Linked DNA regions of Sus scrofa. The protein of the gene in region 1 purifies or fractionates together with the protein of each later gene. This does not show direct contact. Links are inferred from orthologs where the notes say so. Each region holds a gene or a part of one and is shown in the gene's direction. Other genes may lie near its edges.

Evidence for each region. Proteins that work in one complex are often made in the same cells at the same time.
Region 2: the proteins of FNTB (region 1) and DYRK1A purify together in Homo sapiens (affinity purification with mass spectrometry; 3 studies listed by BioGRID, counting the BioPlex papers as one). This does not show direct contact. The link is inferred for Sus scrofa from reciprocal best matches to the Homo sapiens genes FNTB and DYRK1A.

Annotation. Positions count from the first base shown.
Region 1 is NC_010449.5:89,128,368-89,131,757, forward strand, and holds the end of FNTB (protein farnesyltransferase subunit beta), read left to right. Parts: intron 1-1,224; coding exon 1,225-1,356; 3' UTR 1,357-2,708; downstream 2,709-3,390. UniProt on the Homo sapiens protein: Essential subunit of the farnesyltransferase complex. Catalyzes the transfer of a farnesyl moiety from farnesyl diphosphate to a cysteine at the fourth position from the C-terminus of several proteins having the C-terminal sequence Cys-aliphatic-aliphatic-X.
Region 2 is NC_010455.5:201,007,131-201,011,398, forward strand, and holds the start of DYRK1A (dual specificity tyrosine-phosphorylation-regulated kinase 1A), read left to right. Parts: upstream 1-1,375; 5' UTR 1,376-1,787; intron 1,788-3,088; exon of another isoform or gene 3,089-3,207; intron 3,208-3,473; exon of another isoform or gene 3,474-3,762; intron 3,763-4,268. UniProt on the Homo sapiens protein: Dual-specificity kinase which possesses both serine/threonine and tyrosine kinase activities. Exhibits a substrate preference for proline at position P+1 and arginine at position P-3.

The DNA of each region.
Region 1 (3,390 bases):
TGCTCTATAAAACTATTTAGTTTACCTTTGTTCTGGCATGGATTTGCTCAAAGTATTTTCTTAACTTCAGTACTGGCCTAGGCTTGTGCCTTGTCTCACACTAAAGTTTTTTTGGGGAGGGGGTTCTGTGGGATAAATTAACTTATTGATGGCCTGACGCCTTTACTTAAGTGTAATAGGATCACGGTCCTTTTTCTTGATTATAAACACATATTTATTTTTTAAATAATTGGAGTACATATAAAACTAAAAGAAAATTAAAAACAATCATCACTGTTCCTATTTTGGCCTACATTCATTTTTTTTTTTTTGGCCTATTTCATATACATCATATCTACCAACACTTTATTTTTTGGCTGAATCTACGGCCGAAAAAGCCTCCCAAAATCATAAGTTTGGGGATAATATCACATACTGTCTTCCACACTTAATGTAAGTATTTGCCAATATCATTAAATATTTGAAAGGATGTCTTTTGTCAATTGCATCTTTGCAAATATTTTCGCCCAGTCCGTAGGTTTTCTTTTGTTTATGGTTTCCTTTGCTGTGCAAAAGCTTAAGTTTGATTAGGTCCCATTTGTTCATTTATGCTTTTATTTCCGTTGTTTTGGGAGACTGACCTAAGAAAACATTGGTAGGATTTATGTCAATGTTTTGCCTTCTCTTCTTGTTCTCTTCTTGGAGTTTTATGGTGTTCTGTTTTGTATTTAAGTCTTTAGGCCATTTTGAATTTATTTTTGTGTATGATGTATTCTAACTTCATTGATTTACATGCTGAAAGCATGTTTTTAATGGCTCTCTTCCTCTGTGTCCCATGTACTATAACATGTCTTACCAGTTCCCTGTTGTACAATAGGGCCTTGTGAGATAAATCTCCATGTGTATCTCTGATGATTCCTTATATTATATTCTTTTTGTTTTGTCTTTTTGTCTTTTTAGGGCTGCACCCTCAGCATATGGAGGTGCCCAGGCTAGGGGTCCAATTGGAGCTGTGGCCGCTGGCCTAACCACAGCAACGTGGAATCCAAGCCACAGTTCACGGCAACGCCAGATCCTTAACCCACTGAGTGAGGCCAGGGATTGAACCCGCGTCCTCATGAATGCTAGTTGGGTTTGTTAACCATTGAGCCACAACGGGATCTCCAATGTTATATTCTTGTAAGTGCATTAAATGGGCAAAGGCTGTGCACTGGAGTGATTAATTGGCATCTGTTCTCTTTGCAGCAGCCCACTCACCCTGTATACAATATTGGACCAGATAAGGTGATCCAAGCCACCATGCACTTTCTACAGAAGCCGGTCCCAGGCTTTGAGGAGCATGAGGATGAGGCAACAGCAGAGCCTGCCACTGACTAGAGGACACGAGGTCCCACGGGTCTGTGTTCACCCACCTCCCCAGTCAGACCAAGGTTTATACATTTCGATACACACTGCATTCTGTGCTGCACAAGCCTTGGCCACTGTGGAGTTTGGTTCTTTGTCCTTTCTTGTTAAACAAAACCGATGGCTCCCAGTCTAGAGAACGCAGTGGCCTGGTTTTTTAAAGATTCTTTCCATTCCTGTTAAACCAAAAATCTACCGGCCATGCGGCATCTGAACCTGGCTCTGACCTGGCCGGGGTTGGCTGGGGAACAGTGCATGCTGGGAAGGAGCAGCCCTCTCGCCAGTGCTCCGGTCTGACCATGGCATTGGAATGAATGAATGTCAGAGTATTACCGTATCCAGAGCCGCTGCTGCCCTTCCTACTCGCACCACCATTCAGCCGCCAGAAGGTGGCTTCCCATGGGTGGACATGAGTCTGCTCGCTGCCAGGTGGGGACCTTAGGTCCCACCAAAATGAATTCTCCAGGAAAAGAATGTGGTGGGGCTTCACTCTGAGGTGCCCGAGGCCCCCACCTCCCACCCTGGTCACCTGCAGGGGAAGGAGCTGGGGTCGGGGGAGAAAGGTCTTGGGAGATGTGAGTCCCTCCCTGCCCACACTGGGCACTGACCACACATCTCCATGGCCAGCCTTGTGCACAGGCAGGACTTGCTTCAGCCCCTGGGGTGGTGACCTAGACCCGGAAAACCAATTATGAGTGAAAAATGAACCTTTAGATCAACTCTGTGCCAGAGGAAGCAGGAGCCTCAGAGCCCACCCCCCAGGCCCCCCACATCATGTGCCCCCAAAAAACCCCTCTGATGGCTGCAAAGCAGCGCCTTCAGTCCCTGGCCAGTCTCGGTGTTGCCATCTTTCTTCTACCGACTCCCAGCCCACCCTTCTCAGGCAGTGTTGTCTTCTCTCACCCAGAGTATTAACACTACTAAGTCTTTCACCTTCATTTCTGACTCAGGATTTATTCCCATCCTACCCACTCCAGGCTTACAGAAATAAAATCAAGTGCTAGATAAGCTGGTTGCCGCCAAGGCAGTAGCCATGTATACCTGGCCGGGGCAGGGCTGAGCGCTGCCCACCCAGGAGAACCCTTCCTTAGTCAGTGGGGTATTGAGTTGGGTCACCTGTCCACTGCCACAGTCACAGCAAGTGCCATGTTGCTGGTCTGGCCTTCCTGTAAGCAGCCGTGGGCTGTGGGCAGATGGGGGCCCGGAGATGCAGCATGAGGCTCTTCTCAACAACTTTGGCCGTCTGCTGCCTCTAATTCCCTAGTGCTTTGACGTTTGGGGCTGTGTATTACCTCCTTGAAATAATAAAAGAATAACATTTTCTATGATGTCTCTCATTTGTGACAGGTCCCAGGAAAAGGCCTTCAGTGGGCCCAGTGTTAGGAGTTTGGCGGGGGCTTGTGGTCACCAGTCTCCTCCTCTGTGTGATTCCAGACCACACGCATCAGTGGTTACAAAGAGGTCGGACGGGTTCCTCCCTCCCTCACATACCTTCTCCAGTTAAGGACACGGAGAGCCTGAGAGGAGGAGGAAAGCCATGTCCCAGGCTCCCTGGAGCAGTTTGGTTTGGCCCAGCACTCCGCTCAGTTTCAGAGTGAGTGAGTGAGTGAGTGAGTGAGTGAGTGTGTGTGTGTGTGTGGTGTGTGTGTGTGTCTCCCTGAGAGCAGGGGGGTGCTCCGGAGTGCTCACGAAGACACTCGACAGTGGGTGGGTAGGTGACATCCTGGTCAGGGGCCGGGCGCTGTCACAGGGACAGGTCAGCACCCTGTGATCACCTGGCTTTCCTCCTCATTGGTCAGAGACCCCCTCCCAAGGAGAAGCCAAGAAAGTGGGTGCTCTGTGACCTGCCCCTCTCCTTGATGGTGAGAAGAGGTGCCCTCCGAGGCAGAGAAGAAACCAAATCCACAACCCAGAATGTAATCCCTGTGCCTATGCTAATTTTGCCCTGTTAACAGAAGTCAGGCAAAACAGCATACTGAAATGCACCATTCCCATCACTGCAACAAA
Region 2 (4,268 bases), on another chromosome or scaffold:
ACTTGACAAGGGCATATTTCTTGAAACATTATCATGTTCTTTTTAGGTTATCTAGAAGATTAATTACGCAAGTTCCCTTCATGACCAGCAATAAAAAAAATGGACTGGGGGAGAGGGAGGGAGTGGGGTGGGTTGGGGAGCTTGGGGTTAATAGATACAAACTATTGCCTTTGGAATGGATTAGCAATGAGATCCTGCAGTGTAGCACTGGGAACTATGTCCAGTCACTTATGATGGAGCATGATAATGTGAGAAAATAGAATGTGTACATGTATGTGTAACTGGGTCACCATGCTGTACAGTAGAAAAAAATTATATTGGGGGAAATAATTCTTAAAAATAATAAAAATATATATTAAAAAAAACGGACTCAAATTTAACTTGGTGTTAAAGGTTGCAAATGCTTAAGGGTCCTGAGAGAAGTGAAACTGCCTGAACAGGATGGGGGTGGGGAGCAGGGAGAAGAGAAAGAAGCAGGAGGGAGGAGGTGGCAGTGTAAGCTGGGGAGCCGTCAAGATATCAGCCTCTTACCCCAGCAGGGACGCTTTTGGCCACTTCCTCCTGTTTAAGATGATGCAATGTAAATCCAGGTTGTAGTTAATTTAACAGAAAATAAACTGGAAATTAAACCACCACCCTAACTCCCCCCCACCAGAAAACAATCAAGTTGAATGTGGACTTTAATTACATTAGCAGGGCAATTTTGAAAGTCCAAAAAAACTCTTGATAGTCATGGCAGTTTGTGATACCATGAGAATCGGTCTAAGCTATTGGCCTACTTTTTGCCTAATTTATCTAAAGTTTAGTCTGTTTTCTTTCACGGTCTGTGCTAATTTCAATGGATGCCTTAGTAAATCAAGGTTCCAGTAGCCAGAGAAGAGAAACATTTATTGGAAACACTCGTGTCTTTCCTTGAGTCATAGAGGATTGAGCTCAGTATTTACTGTGGGGTTGTTTTTCTTTACTGGTATCTGCTGCTGCTTTACTTGTGAACAGTCCAAGCTTAAGACAAAATTGATACGAACACTATCATAAGATGGCAAAATCAAGCTTAGAAATCAATCAATAAATTAGGGACTTGGTGTAAAATAATATCCATAGTATCCTTTTTGGCAAAGATTAAATGCCATTTTACTAGGAATGGTACAAAATACAATTTTTAGCCAGTGGCTGTCTACTGATTACAAAGTAGCCAGTACAGCATGGCTACTTCCATACCTAGGTTTCAATGCCGAGAGAGAACACCTAGTAATATTCAGCCAGCCAGAGGGGTAGACAGAATAAAGATAAACGAAAGCGAGACTATTAATCAAGAATTGTGGGCGAATTAAAAATCTGGAAACTGAAATGGTGCATGAGAAAGAAAATCAGGGAGTTGGACAACGATACGGTATAGCCTAAGACGATTAATTTTAGGGGCATTCCGATGGAGAAGGAAGACTGCCTGAAAGGTGGGGAGGGGTTTGAAATCGGTGGGAAAGCCCGGCTGAGCATGCACAGCCTAAAAAAGTTTGTATGATGGCTCCGTCCATGATTTCTGAACGCTGGCACTGGCCGCAGCAAAAAGCCGAGTGACATGATTTAATCAAGGTGTCAGCCGCAGGGGCATCCCGGATTCGGGCGAAGCGTCCGGAATTCCTGAGATGTCTGAAACGCGGAGGCGGCCTCTTCCCCACCCCCCACCGCGGCCTCCGTGGGCATTTTCCGGCGAGGGGGGCACGCGGGGCCTTCCAAGAACAGTTTAAACGCGCGGACGTGCGCTGCCGGCGCGGTCCCCGGGGATGCAGGTGAGAGTCCCCAGCGCGGGCGCACCGGAGTGGGCTTCCTGGGTCCCCGCGCGGCCGCAGAGCCCGGCCCCCTCCCCCCGGCGCGGGCGGGGCTGCGGGCGCACGACGCGGAAGCGCGGGGCTCCGGGGGCGGCGGCGCGGAGGCCGCGCGCGCTCTCCGGGCCGCAGTCGGCGCGGGCGGCGCGGGCGCGGCGGGCGCGGGGCGGGGCGCGGCCGGGAGGCCCTGGGCGCTGGAGCACAGGCCGGCCGCCGCCTCGCCCCCCTTCCTCCGCCCTCTCCCTCCCTCGGCCCGGCCGTCCCCCTCCTCTCCCCTCCCCCGAGCGAATCACGCGCCCTCCTCTGACACTCGTAGCGGGCCTGAGCTCCGAATTTATCCTTCACGTGACCTGAGGGGGTTGGGTGGTTGGTTGGGGACGGAGGGGGAGAGGGAAAGGAGGGAACGGAATCTGCCGTTGCCCGAGCAACAGGCCCCGCCCGCCGGCTTGGGGCCGGGGGGCGGGAGGAGGACGTCAGCACGTCAGCCGGGGTTTTGCGTTTTGATTGACAGTTGCTATAGCGACCGGGTCGGTCCGTCGCCATTTTGTTGGTTGGTTTTTTTTTAAACCCTTTCGCTTCCCGCCCGAATAATAATAAAAAGCCCCATTGGAGTGAGGCGGGGGTGGCGGCGGCAAGAGCGGCGGGGGGATCCGGGGAGACTGCTGCCGTCGCTGCTGCTGATCGCGGCCCAGGTCGGGCTCAGGGAGCGGACACCCCGAGCGGGGGGTGCGGGCGCCGCCGCCGCCGCCGCTTCTGCTGCTGCTGTTCCTGCTGCTGCTGTTGGTGCCGCTGCCGCCGCCGGCGAGCGGGCGGGACCGGTGTGAGTGTGAGAGTGTGTGTGTGAGTGAGCGTGTGCGAGTGTGCGTGCGTGTGTGTGTGTGTGAGTGTGTGTGAGTGTCTGTCTGTCTGTGCGGGCGGTTCTGGCTCTCCTGGCGGAGGAGCCGCCGCCGCCGCCGCCGCCGCCGCTCGGGCCCCGGCGCTTCTCGCTGCGCAGGTTTGGAGCGCGCGCCATTTTGTGAGATTTACAAAATCCTCCTCGGGAAGAAGCCGCCGGGAGCAGCCGCGACTCGGCGCCCGGCCTCGCCGCCGCCGCCCTCCGCGCCGGGCCGGGCCGCGCGGCCCCGCCGCCGGGAGTCGGGGTCCGGGGACTGCGGTATTTGCCGGGGAGGGGGCTGTCGCCTCCCCGGCCCCGGGCGCCGCTGGAACCGCGAGCCGGAGAGAGACTGAGAAGGCTGCGGCTCGGCCGCGGAGCCGGGAGCGCCGGGGGCGGAGAGAGGCGGCCGGGGCGGCGCTGGCTGCGGAGGCCCCGGCGGGAGCGCAGCGGCGGGAGCCCAAGGCTGAGACTCACCGGAGGAAGCGGCGCGAGCGCCCCGCCATCGTCCCGGTGAGTGTCCGGCCTGGCCGCGGCCCCGCCCGGCCCTGCCCGGCGCCCGGCTCCCCCCGCGGCCTGCAGCCGGGCCCGCGCCGAGGCCGGCCGGGCGGAGGGAGGGACCTGCCATTTTAGGAGGAGGCGCCGCGGCCCGGGGCTGGCCGCCGGGGGAGGGAGCCCGACGGGCCCGGTCCCGGAGGAGAGGCGGGTGCGAGCGGAGGGAAAGTTGCCGAGGGTGGGAGCCGAGGCCGCGGCCTCCCGGGAGCCGGGGCCTGGGGGCCGGAGAAAGCGCCAGACCTTCACTGGTCGCCCGAGCGAAGGGGAGGAGGTTGTCTTCCTCCTCCTCCTCCTCTTCCTCCTCATCCTCTTCCCCCAGCTCCTCCCTCGTCCCTCCTCTCGGTCCCCACCAGTGTGGGAACGGCCGGGGTTCTCCGCAAGGACAATGCACGGGTTAAGAAAATGGGGCTGGCTGCTGGGCGAGGCGTCGGGGAAGGTCGGGCGCCCGGTCCCCGCGCGGCCCTTGGGGCGTGGGCTGGAGCCAGGGCCCTCGGCGTGCTCCGAAGTTGTGCCGTGAGTGCGAGGGAGCCCGGCCCCTGGACGTGGAGGAATGACCTGCTTAGCGGGCGGAGGAGTTGGTGGCTGAGGATGCGTAAATTGGGACGGATACCTGCATACTGCCACAAAACTTCGCAAGTCTGTTAATAGGCACAAACCCACTCCCGCTTAGACCCACCGGAGCTGCTGAACAGCTCAGCGCTCAGCCGAAGGCCCCTGCCGGGTCTGAAGTAGCTAAAAATGGCAGAATTAGTGAGTGACTCTGACTCCTTCCCTGTGCCTGCCGTCCAACCCTAGATGATAGGGCTGGATCTTGTAATCGAGGTGCAGTCCTTGAATGCCAGCACCACTCCGCCCAGGTTGTCCGAAAATCCACCTTATAGCATTGTTTTCACATTGATTTAAAGATGAGGAGGAAGCGTGCGAGGCGCTCTTCTTCAGGGCTTTACGCGTATTAACTCGCTTATCCTCCCGGTAGGAACTGTTACCCATTTCACAGATGAGGAAACTGAGCGGTGAGT